Linked DNA regions of Stegostoma tigrinum. The protein of the gene in region 3 interacts with the protein of the main gene of each other region in a biochemical or structural test. Links are inferred from orthologs where the notes say so. Each region holds a gene or a part of one and is shown on either strand. Other genes may lie near its edges. The genes, in order: oip5, mis18a and mis18bp1.

Region 1 (7,153 bases), about 52 Mb from region 3:
TTACAAAATCCACAGAATTACATGCATTTGTGTTAGTATTTGATTCATGGCTATTTCTTTTGCAGAAATCCAGACCTTTAAGAAGTTCTGCTCCAATTTCTGACCAGGTTTTCAAGTCTGACCGGATTTGTTTGTCGCTTTTACCTGAACTGCTCTCTATTTCCCATCCTGTTATTCATCAGGTCTAGCAAAACAGGAGTTCACAGTTACAGTTCCTTCATTAGTAACTGTCTTCCTCTGGCTTATTCCATGTGGATTACAACCGAAATTCTACCCTCTCTCTTTCAGATCTACCTATTGTTACAGATAACTCCCAGGCATTCAGCATTGGTCAAGTAGGGACATAATGGCAATGTTACTAAAGTAACATTGGGAACAAGGATTCAAATTCCAACACACTATCTGATGGAATTAATATTTAATTAATTAGAAAGCCTGGAACTGAAAGCTACTTTCATATTCACCATTACAAAGACGAGCTTTCAATTGCTCTAAAAAACCATGAAGTAACTTAGGGATGGAAATCTGCCTTCTAGCCCTGTTCTGCTACAAAGTGGTCAACCCTAGGTCAGAACCCCTAAGTACTCTGATCATTTTTAATTTAACTTAATTGTGCTTTTAAAAAGAGTGTTGATAGTCAAATATTCCTGCAGATGTAAATTAAGTGCCTGTCTGGACAGAGAGAGGGAGAAGCCCATGGAAATTCACACCTACTGATGTAAAGGGAACTTCAAACAACATCCCTTCAAAGGGGGGGGGGAGGGATTAGAGCCAACTGATCTCTTGAGACTAGAAAGATAATAAGGGATTGATGACCAAACTGCACACTCATTTTGTGCTTTTCTCTTTGAAGAACAAACATGGAGATGATTTATAAGAGATAATGGGAACTGCGGATGCTGGAGAATTCAAGAAAACAAAGTGTGGGGCTGGATGAACACAGCAGGCCAAGCAGCATCTTAGGAGCACAATTTATAAATAATTTATAATTTATAAAACCAGTTTCAACTCCACTGGAATGTATTAGTGGAACAAAACTCTTGTATGTACCAGCCTCAGTTCAAGCTTTAGTGTGCTGTGATAGGCATACACAAAGAACTAGCCCCTATTTACCACTGTGTTACCTTCTCTCACTCCAAGTGTTACAAAGCATTGAACAAGGAAACAGGATAACAAAATGAATCTCGCTCACCCTCAATACTGGAATCCAGTCAAGGTCAAAAGGAATCAGAACTACAGAGTCAACAAAATGTGAGGCTGGATGAACACAGCAGGCCAAGCAGCATCTCAGGAGCACAAAAGCTGACTTTTCGGGCCTAGACCCTTCATCAGAGTGTCAATCGACGTGTAAAACACTCTCTTCACTGTCCTGAGCTCCAATTCCTTCCAGGCGAAGCAGCATTTCACTTGCACTTCTTTCAATCCAGTCTATTCCAATCATTGCTCACAGTGCAGTTTCCTATACAATGGCTAGACCAAATGCAGACTAGATGACCGTTTTGCAGAATACTCTAATTTTGTCCACAGGAATGACCTTCCAGCGCATTCCATTTCAACAAACCACCTTTCTTTCATGCTAACATTTCTGTCCTTGGTCTGCTGCAATTTTCCAAAGAAGCAGAATGCAAACTCAAGGAAAAACATCTTATTTTCTACATAGGCAATCTACAGCCCCTAGGTCTTGATATTGAATGTAATAACTTCAGAAACTGACTGTTTTATGTCCGTACTCTGTTTTTCTTACGTTATCTTCCACCACCGCCAATTCTTGATTACTTTGCAATTAGTAACAAGGGCCAAAGCTCTCCTTTTCACATCTTAATTTACACCCTTTTAACCTATCTTTTCTTTCTCTGTTATTAACAACTTTTTTTTGTCTTTTGCACTACATTATCAGCCCCCTTGGTGTCTTTCACCTCTGTCAAAAGTGTACAATAAAACCTATTTTTCAACACCTTTCAGTTCAGACAAACAGCTATACCAAACTTTAAACTTTAACTCTGTTTCTCTCTTCACAAATGCTGCCAGACCTGCTGAGTTTCTCCAGCACTTTTGTGTTTGTTGCAGAACAAAGAATTGTGAAATCCACTGCTCAAACAGCAATGTCAGTGATACCAGTAGCCTCGAATGCAGTGCTGGCAATGTTCATCTACCTATTCATCAGAAACAGTTTAGAGACTGACCCATATGTCTCTTTTTAAAAAGAAATAATATTCTCACCTCTTAATTTTAAAGTGTTTGCAAATTCTTCTTTCGTTTGGTACTTAATAAACTCACTCTATGTTAAGTCAAGAAAGCCTGATTAAATTGGACTCTTTGAAATCACGAGTTTAATCAGGTCTGGGAGAAGGATTTCTGAAGAAGGGTCCCAACCCGAAACATCAGCTTTCTTGTTCCTCTGATACTGCCTTGTCGGCTGTGTTCCTCCAGCTCCACACTGTGTTATCTCAGACTCCAGCATCAGCAGTTCCTACCATCTCCATAAGGTAAAGGATCTGTTTTTAAATTAATATTTCTGTAATCAACTTGAATAAGTTGAGTGAAGACGTGGAGCCAATTTTGTCTCTGCTCATCCGACAACTTCATGATTTGGGGTATTCTGTCTGAAACCATGCTAACAAATTAGCAGCATCACCAGGGAACTGGGTGTAACAAATTGGGGAACCTTGCCAGGGTTTTGTCATATCAGTGTGATTCCAGATCCACAGCAATGTGCCTGACACTCTGAAAGGCCCAGCAAGTCACTTCAAGGACAACTAGGGATGGACAATAAAAGTGTGGGTTTGGGAATGAAGGGAGAATTGTAAGGGAGAAAACCAGGGTACACAAAAAGGTTACAATTATGTTGCTAGGTGCAGTTTCTAGGCCACCAGTGGGAAAGATGTGGAGGAACAAATCTGCAGGGAAATTATAGACAAATGGTAACATTCTAGAATAGTTTTAATGCAGACTTCAATGACCTAAATATAGACTGGGACACTCAAGTGTACCTGGACTGTGTTCAAGAGAGCTTCCAAAGGGAGTAGATGTCCAGTCTGACAAGAAAGGAAGCACTGTTGGACCTGGCTCTTGAAAATGAGGATAAGTCAAGTGGATCAAGTGTCAGTGAGGGGACGTTTAGGAAACAGTGACCATTGTATTATTAGATGGTGGAAAATGATCTGCAACAGTGAGATCAGTCAATGGCAGAGAGGACACCTCAATGAGGCAAGAACAGAGTTGAGCAGGATTGACTGGAACCAGAGATTGGTAGAAAAAGTAGTAACTGAACAATAGGATACCCTCAAAGAGGAGATGGTTCAGGTACAGTCAAGATACATCCTCTCAAATAGAGAAGGTGGAACAAACAAATCCAGAGCTCCTGGATTAAAAAGGAGAAAGGAATTAAGATTAAAAAAGATGTGCCTATGCCAAGTCTCAGTTAAATTGAGAACCAAGAGGAATATCAAAGGTTTGGAGGGAAGGTCAAAAAGCAAATGAGAGAAGCAAAGAGGATTTCTAAGAAAAGACTGACAGCCAGCATAAGGAAATGTCACAGTCTTCCGCGGCCATGTAAATAGTAAAAGGCTGATAAAAGGTGGAGTAGCGCCAATTAGGTATCAAGAATGTATTAAATGAACACCATGCACCTGTCTTTACTAATGATAGAAATGCTCCCTAAGGTCATAGTGACAGGGAACTCAGTCACTAGGGCCGATCAAAATTGAAACTGCAGAAGTGTTGGTACTTAAAAATGAACAAGGCGCCCAGGACTGGTTGAGATGCCCCCAAGGATTTTGAAGGAAGTGAGAATTGACATTGCAGGGGACCTAGGCACAAATCTTTCAGTATGCTCCACACTTGAGAGGTGTCAGAGTCTGACAAACAATTGCAAACTTCACGACAGCCTCATTCAAGAGAGGATAATCCCAGCGACTGCAGACCAACCAGTTTGACATCCAGCGATGGACAACCATTTGGAATACAACTAATTCATCTCCCCCCCCCCACAAAACCTCCTCTACTCTGTTCCGTCCCCCTCCTTTCTCCACGCCCCACCCCGTTTCCGCGAAGACGGCGTACTGCGCATGTACGCTGGTTTGAACGCAGTGCGGCGCGCGTTTGCTAACGGTCGTGTTTGAGGAGGAGGTGAGGGGGTTTGGTTGGGTCTGGGGCATATGGTGGCTGGGGTGTTGTTCGCTTCTTCCTCCTCCTTCCCTCCCCCGAGAGAAAAATAAAATAACCCCCCAAGGGCAGCGGCAGCAATAACAACATGTCTCACTGTTGTTCCCCTGGCGGAGGAACTGGCTGGAAGAGGGCATGGTGCCTTTGGGTTTTGAGATGGGAGTGGGTTACTGAGCGGGTTTGTTGTTACAGAGAGGCGCTGCAGTGCCTAGACTAGAGGGGAAGATTTGGTTCGTGTCAGCTCTCAGCTTCAGCCCACAGCCGAAAAAAGCTTATTTCTGGCACCTTCGATGTGACCAGATGTCTCATGAAGTTACCAAAACTGGGTCTCAATGAAAAGGTAGCAGGACAGATGACCAAAACATGGTCAAAGAGGCTTATGAGGAACCAGAGCCGTACCCTCTCCTTTAATAAACTCCTGTTGCAATTTTCTCAGTAAACTATGTGCCTCTGGATTGCCAGCTTATTGCCTCTGCATATCATATCCCTTTTACACTTCATCTGTCACTTTAAACAAGCCTTTTCTTTTACTACGTTTGATCTTGTCTCAGTGTAAGATTTTGCTCCATGGAGCAGTTTCCCAATGTTATAAATAGCACTTTTTCTCCACTTGGCCACTAATGTGCTAGCTAGTCGTTTCTTTAAACTGCATGTTCAATGGTTGTGGTTTCAATACCAAGGGCCTCTATATCGAATGCTAAAGTGTCAAAGTGTAAGAATGTTTATAACCTATCTTCATGTGCCAATGCTAGACACAAGCCAAGAGCTAATCACATTCTCTGGTGCAACATTTCAGTGTCTGCTAATTGACAGCATGTCCATCTGTGTAGGTCTTGTATAAAAGCAAATTGTTGGGTTTTGAAAATAAAAAGAGTGCTGCAGCAACATTCTGCACGAGAGTCACACTGGACTTATAATGTTAACACTGTTTCTCTCTCTCTGTCCTAGATGCTGCCAGACCTGCTGAGTTTTTCCAGCTCTTTCTGTACCTATTGTGTGTAGGACCTGGAGTCTAGGCATTGTTAGTGACTGAACAGCCCAGTGGCAATTGAGATAGATAGACAGAAGATTTGTTTTCCAAATGCTTGCTGGGCAGTGGAGGTACTGTGGCTCAATTGCTGGCATTTCTGCCACTGAACTGCATTCAAGTCCCACTCTAGATTTGTTGGAAGGAGTGTTCGTAACACTGGACAGGTTCTTATTCAGCTTATAAATCCTTCCAACATTCAACACCATCCCTCAGTGAAAAGAAGGAAGGAAAGAAAGAAAAAAAAGTGTGGCGATGAACACAGTGGTTGGGTAAGCAATATACTAGTGAATAGGCAATACAATAGTGGTCTTTCTGGAAGTACCCTAAAAAGCAGTTGAGGCGTAAAATACTTGGAAAAAACTGTTGAGGATGGGTTTTCTTAAAAAAATACTTTTAGTTTTCATCTGCATGCTCTATGATAGCTCTTTAAGCTTCCTCTAACTTGTTCCCACAACAACTTGAAAATGATTCTCCTTTTACCCGTTAAGACAGAAAGGAAACTGAGTTTACAGCAAATTGTCACTTTATTCCATTGGTAGGATTTGATAGTCAGGATTTTAAACATTTCATTCGTGGTATGTGGATCTTGCACTTATTGCCTATCTGAGAAGTGGTGAGTTGCCGCCTTGAGCCACTACAGTCCATATGCTGACCTACAATGCCATTAAGGAGGGAATTTCCAGCATTTTGACACAGTGACACTGAAGAAATGGCAATATATTTCCAAGTCAGTGTGGACAGTGGCTTGGAAGGGAAGTTGCAGGTGGTGGTGTTTATAGTATCCATTGCCCATGTCCTTCTAAATGATAGTGATCGTGAAAGGTTCCATCCAAGGAGCTTTGGTGAATCTCTGCAATGCATCGTGTTGATAGTTGACATCCCTACTAAAGAGCATTGCAGGGAGTGAATGTTTGTGGATGTGGTGTTATTCAAATAGGGCTGCTTTTTCCTAGATGGTGTCACATTTCTTGCATGTTGTTGGAGCCTTACCTGTCCAGGTAAGTGGGAGGTATGTCATCACACTCCTGACTTGTACCTGGTAGATCGTGGACAGGCTCTGGGGAGTCAAGAGGCGGGATACTCACCACAGGATTTTTAGCCTCTTACCTGCTCTTGTAGCCATTGTGTTTAATGGCTACTCCAGTTCCAGGGGTGGCACAGTGGTTCACACTGCTGCCTGACAGCACCAGGGACCCAGGTTCTGTTCTAGCCTTTGGTGTCTGTCTGTGTGGAGTTTGCACATTCTCCCCGTGTCTGCATGGTTTCCTCCGTGTGCTCCGGTTTCACACAGCCCAAATGTGTGCAGGTTAGGTGGATTGGCCATCCTAAATTGCCCATAGTGTTCAGGGATGTGTAGCGTTGGTGGGTTATAGGGGGATGGGTCTGGGTGGGATGCACAGAGGTTCAGTGTGGACTTGTTGGGCCGAAAGGCCTGTTTCCACACTGTAGGGATTCTATGGATTCCTGAGGTTTTCTTCATAACATGTTGAAATATACTTTAATTGTGTTTACAGTCCGAATATTTCATCAATATAGTTCGGTTTGCACATCCCAATTGCGATGGTTGATTGATTTGATCAGTTGTTTTCTCTCTCTTTCTTCCTGTGTGCCCTGTTTAGATGGACAGTGTTGTGATTGGGTCCTTGAAGGTGAAGGACTGTGTGATCTTCCAGTGCAAGAGATGTCACACTGTGTTGGGAGATTCTCTGCAATCCTGCGGTAGCAGCTTACCATTGAACATGCTGTTATGTTTGAGTAAGTGTTAGGTTAGCTATGTATAAATGGTGATAGATTTTTAATCAGGAGGAGCATCAAGGCAAGAACGTGGAGTTAAGGATTATCAGATCAGGCATGATCTCGTTGAATGGCAGAGCAGATATAAAGGGCTGAATGGCCTACTTCTGTAAATCTTGTAGAAAAATACAGAAGCTTGACCACATGCGCCAACAGGTTCAAGAA
Region 2 (8,016 bases), on a different chromosome or scaffold from region 3:
AATTCATGTGTTTTGGTTGACCTTTGGGGAAGGAGTTCTAGGATTCTGACCCAGTAACACTGAAGGAATGGCAAAGAGTTTCTAAGTCAGGATGATAAGTGGGTTGGAGAGGAGGTTTCCCATATAGCTGCTGCCCATGTCTTTCTAGACGGAGTCATAACAGTTGATGTTATGACTCCAACATAACACATGGAGTTGTTATGTGCTGTCTGAAGGACCTTGGTGAATTTCTGAGTGCACCTTGTACATGGTACACACTGCTGCTATGAGCGTGGTTGATGGAGTGACTGAATGTTTGTGGACGTGGTACCAATCAAGCGGGCTGCTTTGTCCTGGATGGTGTCAAGCTTCTTCAGTGTGGTCGGAGCTGCAATTCAGGCAGGTGTGGAGTATTCCATCATATTCCAGACATCTGCCTTTTATATGGTAACAGCTTTTTGGAAGTCAAGTCTCTGAGCAGCTCTTATAGGACAGGATCTATATGGCTAGTTCAGTTTGGTTTTTGGTCAAAGGTAATATGCAGGATGTTGATAGTGAGGGAATCCAGTAATGCCGTTTAATCTCAGGGAGTAATGGTTAGACGTTTGACTCTGTCAAGAGGTCAGGAATTGAGTGTTTCTAATGGTACAAACTGAGTGTCAGTTAGCTGGTTATTGCTAAGGAAGTATTACTTGATTGTATTGTTGATGATCCTTTCCTTTAACTGATTATCAAGTGTAAATTGAAGGAATAGTAATTGGCTAGATTGGATTAGGCCAACTTTACAGTATAGGCAATTTTCCACATTCTTAGGCAGATGTCACCGAAGCGGCTGTACTAGGGTACCTTGGCTAGGGATGCAGCACAAGTCTTCAGGATTATTGCTGAATTATTATTGCCTTTGAAGTATCCAGTGCAATGCCTTGCGATCATTTAGAGTGAATTGCATTGGCTGAAGACGGGCATCTCTGATGTTGGGATCTGTGCAGGAGACCAAAATGGAGCATCCACTTGGCACTTCTGGATGAAAATTGTTGCAATGTTGTGTTGGGAACTCCAATCATCCAGAATGGAGATACTTCTAAAGTCTTTTCCTCTTTGTTTGAGCTGTTTAATTGTCTACCAACACTCATGACTAGATGTGGACTACAGAACTACTGAACTTCAGTATGATTTGTTGGAAACGGAATTGCTTAGCTCTGTTTATCACTTAAAGTTTTAGCTGTTTGTACAAGTCATCCTGTGTTGTGTTTTCACCAGGTTTTCTTTTAATTCATTCACAGGATGAGGGCATCCCTGGCTAGGTTGCTATTTATTTCCCATCCATAATTGGATACATTGCCCATCCATAATTGCCAAGAGGGTATTTAAGAGTCAATCACAATGCTGTGGGTATGGGTCTGGAGTCACATGTAGTCTAGACTGGGTAAGGATGGCAGTTTCCTTCCCTAAAGAACGTTAGTGAACCAAATGCATTATTCCATAATGGATTCACGGTCACCTTTAGACTCTTAATTCCAGTTTTTTTTATTGAATTCAAACTCCACCAACTGCCTGGGTCTTGGGATTAACAGCCCAATGATAATACCATTAGACAATCATCTCCCCTGGATTGGGGTAACACCTCATCTTTAGGAACAAAAACAGAAATTGCTAGAAAAGCTCAGCAGGTCTGGCAGCACCTAGGGACAGAAATCAAAGCTAATGTTTTGAGTCCAACGACCCTTCCTCAGAATTAGGGGCATCCAGGTTAGGTGGATTAGCCATGGTAAATGTGGGGATAGGGTTGGGACTTGGTCTTGGTGAGATGTTCTTTGGAGGGTCATTATAGATTCAATAGGCTGAATGACCTCCTTCTGCACTGCAGAGATTCTGTGACATGAATAAACTAGATAGGGATTTTCTTGACAATTGTTTAATGATTATCTTTTAATTCTGGATTTCATCGACATCAAATTTCACCATTTGTTGTGGTGGGACTCAAACTTGGTTCACCAGAAAATTACCTGTGTCTCTGGATTAGATAGTCCATTTACAATACCTCCACATCTCGCCTGCGCTGTCACAGAATTGTTGATTTTGATATGGGCAAAGTCAGAAGTCACATGACACCAGGTTATAGTTCAACAGATTTATTTGAAATCACACATGCTTTTGGAGCATCTCCCCTTCATCAGGTGCAGTTAAGGGGCTGCCTTCCGAAGGACTATAACCTGGTGACTTTGTCCACCCCAGTCCAACACTGGCACCTTCACATCCTTGATATAGATAGGCAGTACAGTTGATGATGATATGAGGACATATTTCTGTTATTAATGAAAATCTTCAAGGGTTGCATCTTCACCCTGCTGGACACCAGGGAGAAACCTCTTTTATAGTCAGTGCTGAGGCAGCTGTATTTGTCTAGGATAACAGCAATGTAAATCCATCAGCACTCAGCTTCTCCATTGGCAATACCTCAGCCATGCATCGCCTTGGTAACACACAGAAACTAGGTCCTTCATGGCCCCAGGCTCACCTTCTGAGGAACACAGAGGAGGTTTCTGCCTTGGACCTGCAGCATGCGGGCCCACAGGCATGAACACGATGTGGCACTTACAACAATGTGTGACTATCTCCTCTGCCTGGTGGATACTTTCGAAAGGTGGCGGCTAATAAACGCTGACAATAAAAACCCAGAGTGGACTGATCTTAACAGTCACTTCTCTGGAACATCCTGAAACCAGGCCAACTGTAGCTCTGTGCATTCGTTATATGACTTAACTAAACTGGGAAGTCCGAATGGAGGACTGTGATGTGTGGGCAGGCCAGGGTGTCCCTCGTCTTTGCCCTAGATGAGAGCATTCTCAAGATAGATAGCTGACAAGCATTCAGTCTGACACAAAACACCCTACAAATTGTCAGCTCTGCTATAACATAGTAGTCTGTGTTCCCCTGCATGGTCACATTATAGAAAATCGTGCTATAGAAATAACAGGATCTATGAGAAAAGTGGAGTTGAGGCAAACTACCAAAATTATCACTCAAAATCATTTGAAAATCACTCAAAAGCCTTTCACAAAGGATGGCACAGTTTAAATGAAAAAATAAAAGTAAACTTAACACCTTCCCTTTAAAAAATGTCAAGATGACTTGATGGGGGAGTAGGTTTTGAGGTTGCTGTGTTGTTAATGCAGACGCTGAGGGTAATCATCATGATCTTCAGGTGCAGCTGTGGTTGCAGGGTTTGGGCAAAAAATAATTAATCCAGAAGTGGATGGATGTGGTTCATTGTCTTCTGACTGTTTCTTGGGGGGAATAAGATATCCAGTATTTGCTGCTTTGCCCTTTTTCTTCTTTCATGAAGAAACTCTTCATATGCTGCCAAGTAAGGTCTTATTCCTTGAACTGCTACCCTGCTGCATTCAGCAATGTATTCATTGTCCTTTAACAGGTGCAACTGCTTCTCAATTTCCCTCAGGATAGAAGAAAAAACAGAAGTGGAAAGCTTTCGTGGTGCTGCATCATGGACTTCACCTTCTTCATCCCCAGCTTCCATTTCCCCCTCAGCGACAAGTTGTTGTAGATCAGCTGTAGAGAGTCTTCACTGTGGGACTCAAGCAGCTCTTCAACATCTCACTCTCCACTTCTTCAAATCCAACGTGCTTTGCAAATTCAACATAACGTTCTTTGATTCTAGAGAGCTCCTCTAACGCATCAAAGCCTTTAAAATCTTGAAAAAAATCTAAGAAACTTCCACCAAACTGCATGCAAACAGTCCTTGCTGACATCACCTCAGGCATCCGCGATAATGTCAACTGCATTCTCGATGTTAAAGCTCTTCCAACATTGAGGAACACTGTCCTCATCCACCGCAGTGGCTGCAATCAGCCACTGAAATGTTCGTCTGAAATAATAAGCTTAAAAGCTGCTATTGCACCCTGGTCCCTGGGTTGAAGGAGAGAGGTTGTGTTTGGTGGTAGAAATAGAACGTTGATGTTTTCAGAAACCTCACCAATGGCGGGAGGATGGCTTGGCGCATTATCCAGAATGAGGAGAATCCTGAGATCTGATTTTTTTTCCCCTACAATATTTTCTAAAAATATTTTCCTGAACATCACCAATAAGGTCATCTGTACACCAATGGAATTGCATTATAGCCACCACAAGTTCACGTTTTAGAAATAGTGTTCCCTGATTTGTCAGTCGCATTATAAACAATTCGCATTGCCAGAACATGCATTATAGCAGAACTGTTTGGTTTTATGATGCCCAGGAAAACAACTAATACAGCCAATATAAAACAACAAAGTGAGGATACTGCAAATCTGAAAGGAAAACAGAAAATGCTGGAGAAGCTCAACAGGTCACCGTGGTGGGATAGCATGGTGCCTCAGTGATTATCTTTGCTGCCTCACAATGCCAGGGGCTTGGGTTTGATTCCAGCTTTGGATGACTGCCTGTGTGGAGTTTGCATGTTTTTTTTATTAGATTCCCTATTCTCCCTGCATCTGTGTGAGTTTCTGTTTGTGGTTCTGGTTTCCTCTTATAGTCTAAAGCTATGCCCGTTAGGTGAATCGGCCATCTTATTGCAGTGGTTGCAGTGTCCAGGGTGTGTACGCTAGGTGGATTAGCCATGGTAAATTAGTCTGGGTCTGGCTCAGATGCTCTATGGAGAGTCATTGTGGACTCGATGGGCTGAAAGTCTTCTCTCCCCACTGTTGGGATTTTATGAAGTCTGTCAGTATGTGTGGAGAGAACACAGAGTTAGCATTTCAGGTCCAGTGACCCTTCTTAAAAACTATTTTGGTCTGCTCACATTGTGTTTTATCATAGTATTGCCCATCCCTGGCCAGGTGCGATGGGGGTGGACTCACGAGAACTGCGCTGCGACTTTCCACAAACAGGGACGAGACACGCCGGACAGGGCTGCGCACGCGCGCACATTGCGGTGAGGGTGGCTTCGTACGCAGGCGTGTAGCCGGCTGCAGACGCTCTCTGCGCCTGCTCAGTGATTTGAAAGATGGCGGGAGTGACGGTGGATTTGGTAACGGACGATGAAACGGACAACAAGGATTCGGGCACTTTCATCAGCGGTGACTCGGATTTGCCGGCCGTCTTCCTCTGCTCACAGTGTCGGCTACCGGTGGGAGATTCGCTGGCCTGGGTCGGAGCAAACCCGAAAGAGGACATGATCTATCTGAGCAGTGAGTGGGGGGTGGAGTTGTCCCCTAGCCCGGGGGGATGGGAGGGGGGTGTGTTCCGGTGTTTTGTGGGGATGGCTTGAAGGGGGGGAGGTGGGAGATGTATGTGTCCCAGTGTGTTGTGGGGATTGGGGGCGGAAGAATTGGTTTAGGATGCCCAGTCCACAGAGAGTGCTTGAGAGAATTCCTGCATTAATGCTGGAAATTTGGGGTGGGGGGGAACCATTTAAGTTTTTAAAATTGATGCACAAGGTGGTTAAATGACACTTTTTGATGTTTGAAATTTAGACTTTAATAAAACAAATCTGAACAAGAAATTGAAACAGAGATAATGGGAACTGCAGATGCTGGAGAATCCAAGATAACAAAGTGTGGAGCTGGATGAACACAGCAGGCCAAGCAGCATATCAGGAGCACAGACTCTTCGTCAGAAAAAAGGGAGGACGAGAGGGTTCGGAAACAAATAGGGATAGAGGGGGAGGCGGATCGAAGATGGTTAGAGGAGATGATAGGTGGAGAGGAGACAGACAAGTTAAAGGGGCGGGGATGGAGCCAGTAAAGATTCCAATATCTGCAGCAATTTTCTCATTCATTAGTCTCAATATATTTTACTCTCCTCATAGTTAATTTTGTATTAAAATATATAAATAAATGTAATTGAATAGATAAAGATACTAAAATTTGCCTTAAGTCTCTGCTAATATGACTGTGTGGGTTTTCCTTATGTTGGAAAGTCTAATGGTGAAGCAGGGATGGGGAAAAGTCATACTCACAAGTGGTGATTACATACTTTAATGAGCACTGTATTTCCAAGTTGACTAATGGTTATTTTAAAAAAAAGCCAATTAAGCATACAACTTTGTGTGCGGGAACACCATTCATGTAAGCACTGTGAATTTTGTTGAAATCACTTCAAACCTTTGTGGCTGCTGGATAAGCCATAGTAGAATGGCTTGTGTGCCAGATCTAATTGAAGTTTGATATTTATTTTGTATATTTAAGTTATAACTTTGCTTGACTCTTGTCAGGATCATAGAGTAACAGGGATAAGAAGGTTACTTCCTCAGATATGTTTTTAAGGTGAGGTTCTAAAGTGTCATACATGATATTGTATTGTCTTTTAAAGATAGATCCACTTTTATTTTGATATTGAATATTTTAGGTGGTTGAATGCACAAAGAACATGGCCTTTTGTAGGCAGCTGGTCATTGTACCTGAATTTTAGACTCGTAAGCTGATAACCTGTTGCTCTTCTCTAGGTGTTACTAACAATATCAAAGTAGACAAAGAACAGAAGGTAGACACTGCAGATGAGTCTGGTTGGTAAGTATGTTGACTTAGTGCAGATTTTTGAGTACAAGTGAAGGAAAGTCTTTTTTAAATGTGGTGGATGCAACAAAGTCCATTCATTCTATCAAATCTTTTATAGCAATTAAACTATGCTTCTGTAAGCTCATAGTCCTTTAGTTTTTAATTGTTTGAAATTATTTTTGGAAAAATTGTTTTCTTTTGGCTTTATCTTTGTCTCTTAATTCCATCTTTCTTTTCTCTTCTCCACATGATTTAACATTTGTTTAATAAAAAGTTCAAATTTGGGCCTTCTAGTTCTGTGTGCCTTGGTTGAAACTCTTCAGTTTCCTGGACACATGCTCCTTCAGCTAGTCTCAGATCCACTATGCAGAGTGCCACACCAAAATAGATTTTTAATTGCTTCGAGTCACTGCATGAAAATCCACTAAAATATCTGTGGACAGTTGTTTGCTTAGTGAATTGTGGCACTGTTTGTTTGCCTTTTACTGCAAAATTTGGACAAATATATTCCATTTATAGAGTCAGATCGATGTTGCAAGTGACTTTTCAACTGCAACCAATGTGACATTTCCTTGTGGCATCATTAAAGCAGAATGTTCAGAAAATAGGTCTTATAGGTTAACTGAACAAAATAGCATGTGTTCCCTGTTACAAAGAATCTATTTTACTGAGCAGTGTTCTAATTTTCTTCATTTAACCTTTTTCCATAAAGGAAAATTCTTCCATTTCATTCCAGTGCGTTTGTGCACTAAACATATGTTTGCAGTAACTCCAGGTATTTTCATCCTTCAAATTTCTATGAAGCTCAGACTTTTTTTACTTTTTTCAACTGGCACAGGGATTATTGACCCAGCATTAAAGTCTTTGGATTTGGCTAGGTTGGAGGTTGATTTCCTTTTGGATTTTAAAAAATGTGTTCATTCCTTCTGTTTAGAGGATGCCGGCGATATAGCTAGCAATTTTAGTGTATGTCCATTGATAGCAGACATATGGTCACTTCTTTGACAATGGAATAGAAATACAATTCAGCAAACTATTGGAAATACTGTAAAGGATGCAATATCCTATTCATTGTGGATGGACTTGATGAATAAAATGTCAGTTGCCAGAATTGGATGAATACAATGTCTGGGATTCTGTAAACATAGTAACATGTTAATCTCGTGTCCTGTAAAAATGACAAACAATCTACAAAATCTTCCAAAAGAATGGGTAGTCTAAACAAAACCGGGCGCCAATGAATAATGTTACCTTTCCAGCACTAAAACCATAAGATAGAGAAGTAGAATTAGGTCATTCAACCCTTTGAGCCTGCTCCGTTGATAGATGAGGGAAGGGCTGTAGATGTCATGTACGTGGACTTCAGTAAGGTGTTTGGTAAGGTTCCCCATGATAGGCTGGAGAAAGTAAAGCCGCATGGGATCCAGGGTATACTAGCTAGATGGATAGAGAACTGGCTGGGCGACAGGAGACGGACAGTTGTAGTGGAAGGAAGTTTCTCAAAATGGAGAACTGTGACCAGTAGTGTTCCACAGGGATCAGT
Region 3 (7,807 bases):
TTCTTCAGTCAGAGATTGGTGGGCTTGTGGAATTCATTGCCACGGAGTGCAACGGAGGCCGGGATGTAAGATGCCTTCAAGGCAGAGATCGATAAATTCTTGATCTCACAAGGAATCAAGGGCTACGGGGAGAGTGCAGGGAAGTGGCCCATCAGCCACGATTTAAATGGCAGAGTAGACTCGATGGGTCGAATGGCCTTACTTCCACTCCTATGCCTTATGGTCTTATTAAACCAATTGTGAAAGTTTTTGTGGCTGCTCAAAACACTTTTGGCAACTGATTCTGGATGATCCAAGATGGAGGTTAGGAAACATTGTGGCTGTACCAGCTGCTCCTTTTTTGAGGTATTTTCAGTGTTGGAGCTAATTTCCTTGAATTCGAAGAGCAGTAATTACTGTTTTATAAGCTGTTGCATTGTTTTGGAGCTTTGGAGAAAAAAAATCAAAACACCAGCACTTCAAAAAGGAAAGAAGGGAGACAATGGTAGTGACCACATGAGAAGTGATTCAAACAGAGAAAGAAACCTACACTGCGGTCTGAACCAGCAGTAACCTGCACAGCTAAATTTGCTGTTTGGTTTCAAGTATCGCTGGACATCGGAATTTGTCCTAAGACAAATAAACGAGCAGCAAAATTCACAGCTGACCTTGGATAACCTGTGAGGGGATGCAGTTAAGATGGCTTTAAAGCGTAACCTCATTGAGTTTTTTAAAAATCTATAATAATGAGAAGAGTGGGTACTTTTTTGATTTATATATATTTCATTGAGATCTGTCTCAATTAAACTTTATAAATATAAAAACGTAAGTACTAAGCTAGCCTGGAGCAGTGTTTTCAGAGCAGTAAGACTGTGCTTTTTTTGGGTCTAAAGATTGTTAAATTGCAAAGATGGCCTTCAGTGGACTGATGTGCTCTTTCCTATTGGATGTGGTAAATTAGGGAGAGTTACTGATGATTAGGTCTGAAGGAAGTATGTTTAGTTGTCAATCCTATCACATCGCACAAAGTGGCAGTTAGATGCACTGAGGGATTTACAGGAGCTAGGGAGTGTGATGGATGGCAGTTGTAGGGAGGGAGATAAACCAAAGATAGTCAGGTGGATGAGATATCTCCAGAAAAGGGAGGAGAGGGAAGTAGCTCGAACAGAAAATTCCTGTAGCTATACCCATCTCAAACAAATATGCTGTTTCGGAAACATAAGGGATGATGGGCTTACAGGGGAATATAAGCACTGACAGCTGGATTTGGGTACTGAGACTGGTTCTGACGTAATGAGGGTTACATCAGGTTCCCAGCAATCGATTAAGATAGGGGACTCTAGTCAGAGGCACAGACAGATGTTACTGCAGTTGACAGTTAGTCATCGGAAGGGTATGTTGCTCCCCTAGACCCAGGATCAAGGATATCTCAGAGTGGTTTCAAATTGTACCAAAAGGGGAGAGGGACCAGCAGGAGGTCACATCGGAACCAACACCACAAGAAGAGAAAAGGACAAGACTTTGAGGAGAGAATATAGGAGGTTTGGTGGAAAATTTAAAAAGGTCTGAGGATAGTGATATCTGGACTAGTCCTGGTGTCATGAGCTAGGGAGGGTAGGAATAGGAGCATAGAACAGATGATAGATGATTTGGATTCACATTTTTGGATCATTAGAGCCTCTTCTGGGGTAGAAGAGACCTGAACAAGAAGGATGGATTGCACCTGAATTGGAAGGGGCCAAATATACTGGTGGGCAAGCAGGAACAAAATAGAGAAAGATGAAGGACTGATAAATTAACTGTTTATTTCAATGCAGGAGACCCAACAGGTAAGGCAGATGAACTCAGGGCATGTTTGGGAACACGGACTGGGATATTATAACAAGTACAGTGATGTGGCTTAGAGATGGACTGGACTGCTAGCTTAAATTTTCCAGGGTATAGGTGTTATAGGAAGGATAGAAAGGGGGCAAGAGGATGGGGAGTTGTGGTGTTTCTAATTAGGGACAACATTATGGCTGTACTTAGGGAGGTTATTTGGGTGGAACTGGGAAAGAAGAAAGGGATGATCACCTAATTGGAATTGTACTATAGACATCCCTATAGTCAGGGAGAAATTGAGAAACAAATTTGTAAGGAGATCTCAGTTATCTGTAAGAATAATAGGGTGGTCATGGTAGGGGATTTTAACTTTGCAAACACAGACTGAGACTGCCATAGTGTTAAGGGCTTCAAAGGATAGGAATTTGTTAAGTGTGTACAAGAAAATTTTCTTACTCAGTACATGGATGTACCTACTAGAGAAGGTGCACAACGTAACCTACTCTTGGGAAATAAAGCAAGACAAGAGACTGAAGTGTCAGTGGGAGAGTACTTTGTGGTCAGTGACCATAGTTTTCAGTTTTAAAATAATGATGGAAAAGAATGGATTGAATCTAAAAGTTAACATTCTAAATTGGGGGAAGACCAATTTTGATAGTATCAGGCAAGAGCTTTCAAAAGTTCACAGGTAAAGGGATGACTGGAAGGTGTAGGGATAGCTGGATAACTAGAGAAATTTAGGTTTTGGTTAAAAATAAGAAGGAAGCATATGTCAGGTATAGACACCAGAGATCGAGTGAATCACTAAAAGATTATAAGGGCAATAGGAGTATACTTATGAGGGGAATCAGGAGGGAAAAACAGGAACATGAAATAGCTTTGGTAAATAGGGTTAAGAAAAATCCAAAGGATTCTACAAATATATTCTCCCTGGCCATATCACCGAAACGAAGTCGGGTCACGGTCAGGCAAGTAACTCTGAGTCGCCTACATCTCGAGGAAAAGGGAATTAATTAAACTTTTCTGGCTTCAGGTCCAATTTTATTGGCGTACGGTAGCCAGCAGACCCAATACTAGCTGAGATCTGGGTCTAAACAAATGGCTTCCCCCATCCACCAGCCGTTTCCAAGTCCCCACGAACCCGACTGTCCAGCCGATCTTCCAACCGGTGGCCTCGTCAAGCCCTGGTTCTAGAAACAAAATCCGTTTACTCACCCGCACGCCCGTGCCTCTCGCAACAACCATTTCAAACCGAAAATCGTTAGGAATTTTCGAATCCAAAGCATCGGTACCTGATTGGACATTGGCTCTTCGGCCTGCCGAATCAGCATGTGTAACGTCAAGAATGGAACATTGCGCGTGTCCGGATGGCGCGCCGTTCCAGCGGTAAGACACTTGCGCACGCGCAGAGTCGCTCATGTGACTAGAGGAATTGTTAGAGTGTGTTGAGAGAAAAATCTTCATGTGCTATCGTAATATAGCACTTGTCTTTTTAACGGTTTGGCGGGGTATCGATTTATGAATTTGAGTTTAGAGTACAGAAATAGGGAAATTTCCGGGTAAGCCTAGTGTTCCATATAACAAGGTGTGGAGCTGGATGAAAACAGCAGGCCAAGCGGCATCAGAGGAGCTCAAAAGCTGACGTTTCGGGACTAGACCTTTCTTAAGAAAACAAGTTTTTCAGATTCTCCAGCATCAGCAGTTCCTATTATCTGTAGGCCTAGTGACCCGTTCTGATAAGAATTTTTTTGGGGCGGTGAGTAAGATTTGTGGAGGAGGTGTATCAGAATGAAATCAGAGGAAAGGACTTTATTCCCTGTGGACAGACTGCCGAAGTTGTGATTATTCACGTTACGCAGTGGGATACTTAGTAGATGTGTTCAAATATCTTAAGGAAGGAGAAAAGGTATGTTTTAAAGTAGCAGGTTATATAACTTGGAATACACTTTGTAAGTGTGGTGATAGATTCAGTAGTAATTCAAAAACCAAAATATATGCTTGGAAATTGTGTGGGTTGAGGTTGGAGAAGAGGTGCTGTGTGGGGGGAAAAGATTGGAAAGAGAAATTGAGGAGTTATGATATAGAGTAGAGGATTGGGGCTATGGTATTTGGTTGAGGAGCGGAGGCTTGGGGACTGCTTTGTGGACTACTTACGCTCAGTTTGTAACAAATGACTGCACCTCCCAGTCGTGAACCATTTCAATTCCCCCTCCTACTTCTTGGATGACATGTCCATCCTGGGCCTCCTACAGTGCCACAGTGATGTCACCCAAAAGTTGCAGGAACAGCATCTCATTTTTCACTCTGGACCCCTGCAGCCCAATGGTATCAATGTGGACTTCAGAATCTCCCCTCCCCTGACCACATCCCAAAACCAGCACAGCTTGTCCCTGCCTCCCTAACCTGTCCTTCCTTCACCTATCCTCCCCTCCCACCTCAAGCCACAGCCCCATCTCTTACCCACCAGCCTCATTCTGTCTCCTTGGACTGACCTATCCCCTCTCTCTAAATCCCCACCTACACTCACCTTTACTGGCTCCAACCCTGTCAGTCTCTTCTCCACCTATCTACTCCTTTATCCATCTTCTATCCACCTTCCCCTCTCTCCCTATTTAGTTCAGAATCCCCTCCCCCATTTCTGAAGAAGGGTCTGGACCCAAAAAAGCTGCTTTCCTGCTCCTCTGATCTGCTTGGCCTGCTTTTTTTATCCACCTCTGCACCTTGTGACATCAATATTTTGTTGAGCTGGCTCAGATCTAGTTGTTCAAATGGAGGTTTAATTCAAAGTTTCTCTAAAATTATGTTAAATATTCCTTTTAAAATAGATACCATTATTTTAGTTTCATGAATGCTTAAAGTTTATAACTTGCAAAATTATTGAAAATGATTCTTCATTACCTCTAGATTTGACTATTGCAGCATGCTTCTGGCTCGTCTCCAACATTATACCATCCATCTGAGGATATCAAAATTCTGTTGTCTGTGTCTCATCTTGAAGCAAGTCCCGTTCCTTTATTGTTGGGAGAAAGTATTGGGTGTGGCACAAGTTAACCCCACACCTATTTGGGGAGAATTAATAAAACCTTAAGATGAGGTAAGCAACTACATTCAAAAGAAGTACATCTGGGTATTGTCCAGTTCTGGTCACCTCATTACAGAAAAGATGTGGAAGCATTGGGAAAGGTGCAGAGGAGATTTACTATGTTGTTGCCAGGAATGGAGGGAAGATCTTCCAAGGAAAGGTTCAGAGCGCTAGGGCTTTTCTCTTTAGATCGACGAAGGATGAGAGTTGACTTCTTAGAGGTGTACAAAATGATCAGAGGTATAGATAGAGTAGACAGCCAGCACTTTTTCCTAGGGTGGAGGTAGCTTTTAAGAGGAGACATAGTTTTAAAGTGAGTGGAGGTAGATATAGGGGAGACGTCAGAGGTAGGTTCTTTATTCTGAGAGTGGTAGGGGCGTGGAATGCATTGCCGGAGAGTGTAGTGGAATTGGCCTCATTAGGGGCATTTAAGGCATTTCAACAGCTATTAGATAAGCATATGGTTGAGAGTATCAGGTAGGGATGGAGGTTAGATATATCTTAGGATTAGAGTAGAAGTTCGGCACAACATTGTGAGCTGAAGGGCCTGTACTGTGCTGTGCTGTTCTATGTTCTATGTAGTGAATTTAGTTAGCCTGATGAGGTGAGATTCATTTTATAACTCATTTGGCTTTTTTTCATTTAAAAATAACTGTCAGGTTAAAAATGATTAAAACACAAAGCAAGAGCAAAATGCTGCTGACATAGGATATTGCCAGACATGGTTATGGGCCAAGGGAGTAGTACAGAAGATGATGGGAGTAGATTAAGACCAGAAACTACCATTTTTGATATATGGGAAACAAGTTATTTGAACTACACTGTTTTGGAATTTAAGTAATGTACTATTTCTGTGACTTAAAATGTTTTAAAAAGAAAAAGATTTTTAGCTGATTGGCAACATACTACCTCCGAATATTCTCCAGGATAAGTTTTCTCAATGTTGACTTAATAAACAATTGTTAAACCTGTCCCTGAAACTCCTAAGATTATTTGATAACATAATCTACTCCAGTACTTATTTCTGACTTTGCTGATCTACACCATCATCTTGTTAAATAACATGATAATATTTAAATGCTTATCCTTATTATCAAAGGCCTGTCTTCTGCCTAGCTGTGTAATTTCCACCAGCTGTCTGGGCCAATATGATATCTACATACCTCTTACTTTGGTCTTTTGTGTATCCTCAGTTGCTCTGGCATTCCTGTCAACATCTCTTTACCTTTTTTGTCCTTCAAGATACTCCTTAAGTTTGGTCAGTGAGTAAATTTTAATTGTCTTGACCTATTATCTAATTAGGTGGTGCAGGTCATACTTTATGATGCTGCTATGAAACACCTTAGTGTCTCATTACATTTAATGGCAATATATTAATGAGAATGAGTTGTGGAAATCATAGGCATCAGATTTTTTTTCATAGCCTATAAAAGATATATTAAAAGTTGAATATAGTCTTATTGTGGAATAAATAAGTTTGTGGATATTGTGTATTTGGAAGTAAAACTGTATGTATATTCATTATGGTGGAAATGATTCATGAGTTGGTGTTATGTATACTTGTGTCAGTACTTAAAATTATTTGTTATATGGCACCTTTCACTATCTCAGTGTCCCAAAGAACTTCACTTTTGATTTAGAATCAGGAACAATTGCAAATGTAGTAAACAGTTCACAGCAAGGTCAAAAAGAGCAGTGAAATCAATAATCAAGTTATTATAGTGGTATTGGTTGAGAGATAAATATTTGTCAGAGAGAACGTGTGTCTTGTCATAGGTCCGTGAGATCTCTTTCATGAACTTATTCAATTGGACTATTTAAGATCTCACCTAAAAGCCAACTGATCTTACAGTGTAGCCATTTGTCTATTTACCAAGTGTAACCAAATAGTGTTTAATTTTTATGGATTTCAATTATGGATTAGGTTGTGAAGTTAGATGGTAGCAAAACAAAGGAAATCAGAGTTAAAGGTAGCCCAAGATAATACGAAGTGATGTGAATTGGTCTGAAATTTTGAGATTTTGCTGTGCAGTTACAGCAAGCAGAAGTGTTTTTACTGGGAAGGAGATGAAAATGTTTAAGTATACGTCCATTGCTACTTGTGTACTTCTGTCATCCTTAGACAACAAAGAAAATTTGTATATTAGTAAAATAAAAATGTTAGAATTCACTGAATTAATTTTTTTCTGGATCTAAATCTTCATTGGCTCTTCAAATGTATTGTAAATATAAGTTTTTTTTTTGATATTTTCTTGTTTTCTTGTAGATGCTAGTATGGAAAATATTGGTACAGAAGCAATTAATTCGATACATTAAGGAAGGATAGGATTTGCGACTAATATGGAAAAACCTCATTGTTTAAACCTACCTCAGGATATATTGTTGGAAGTATTTAGATATCTAACACCGGTAGGAAAAGATAACGTTCGTGCAACGTGCAAGTACTTCCAACAGTTAATTGATCATCCTACTTTATGGACGGATAGTATAATTGTCCTAAAAAGTTTACAATGCTGTAATTCAAACTTTTGGAGAACGTTAAGAAAAAGGCGAATAAGATCTGTGGTGATTAAGGAAGCAACACAGAAGCAACAACAGAGGATGGTGAATTTGCTACCTGACCTGATAGCTGTTACTATTGATGTAAAAAAGAATTTGGAGAGTCTAAGCACTTTTAAATCACTTACAAATTTACAGAAGTTACAGCTGAGTAATAAATTACAAGTGCTCGATCAAAAACTGCTAAGAGAAATGGCTTTGTTCAAACAACTGACTCATTTGGTCATATGCACTTCAGTGTTTATCCAGGACAGTTCGTTGTGCCATCTTGCAGAATTAACAAAATTACAAGCACTGACACTTCACGCCGGACAGAAAAGCCCTTCCTTGACATCACTTCATTATGTTTTGTTTCGGTTGCCCGAA

Evidence for each region.
Region 1: the proteins of mis18bp1 (region 3) and oip5 form a complex in vitro, tested with the Homo sapiens proteins (2 studies listed by BioGRID). The link is inferred for Stegostoma tigrinum from reciprocal best matches to the Homo sapiens genes MIS18BP1 and OIP5.
Region 2: the proteins of mis18bp1 (region 3) and mis18a form a complex in vitro, tested with the Homo sapiens proteins (2 studies listed by BioGRID). The link is inferred for Stegostoma tigrinum from reciprocal best matches to the Homo sapiens genes MIS18BP1 and MIS18A.

Annotation. Positions count from the first base shown.
Region 1 is NC_081363.1:84,907,814-84,914,966, reverse strand, and holds the start of oip5 (protein Mis18-beta), read left to right. Parts: upstream 1-4,056; 5' UTR 4,057-4,128; intron 4,129-6,813; coding exon 6,814-6,949; intron 6,950-7,153. UniProt on the Homo sapiens protein: Required for recruitment of CENPA to centromeres and normal chromosome segregation during mitosis.
Region 2 is NC_081365.1:24,796,229-24,804,244, reverse strand, and holds the start of mis18a (protein Mis18-alpha), read left to right. Parts: upstream 1-4,939; 5' UTR 4,940-4,981; coding exon 4,982-5,165; intron 5,166-6,421; coding exon 6,422-6,485; intron 6,486-8,016. UniProt on the Homo sapiens protein: Required for recruitment of CENPA to centromeres and normal chromosome segregation during mitosis.
Region 3 is NC_081363.1:32,857,651-32,865,457, forward strand, and holds the start of mis18bp1 (mis18-binding protein 1), read right to left. Parts: upstream 3,052-7,807; 5' UTR 3,016-3,051; intron 1-3,015. Other genes in the region: uncharacterized protein im:7136021, read left to right, coding at 7,223-7,807. UniProt on the Homo sapiens protein: Required for recruitment of CENPA to centromeres and normal chromosome segregation during mitosis.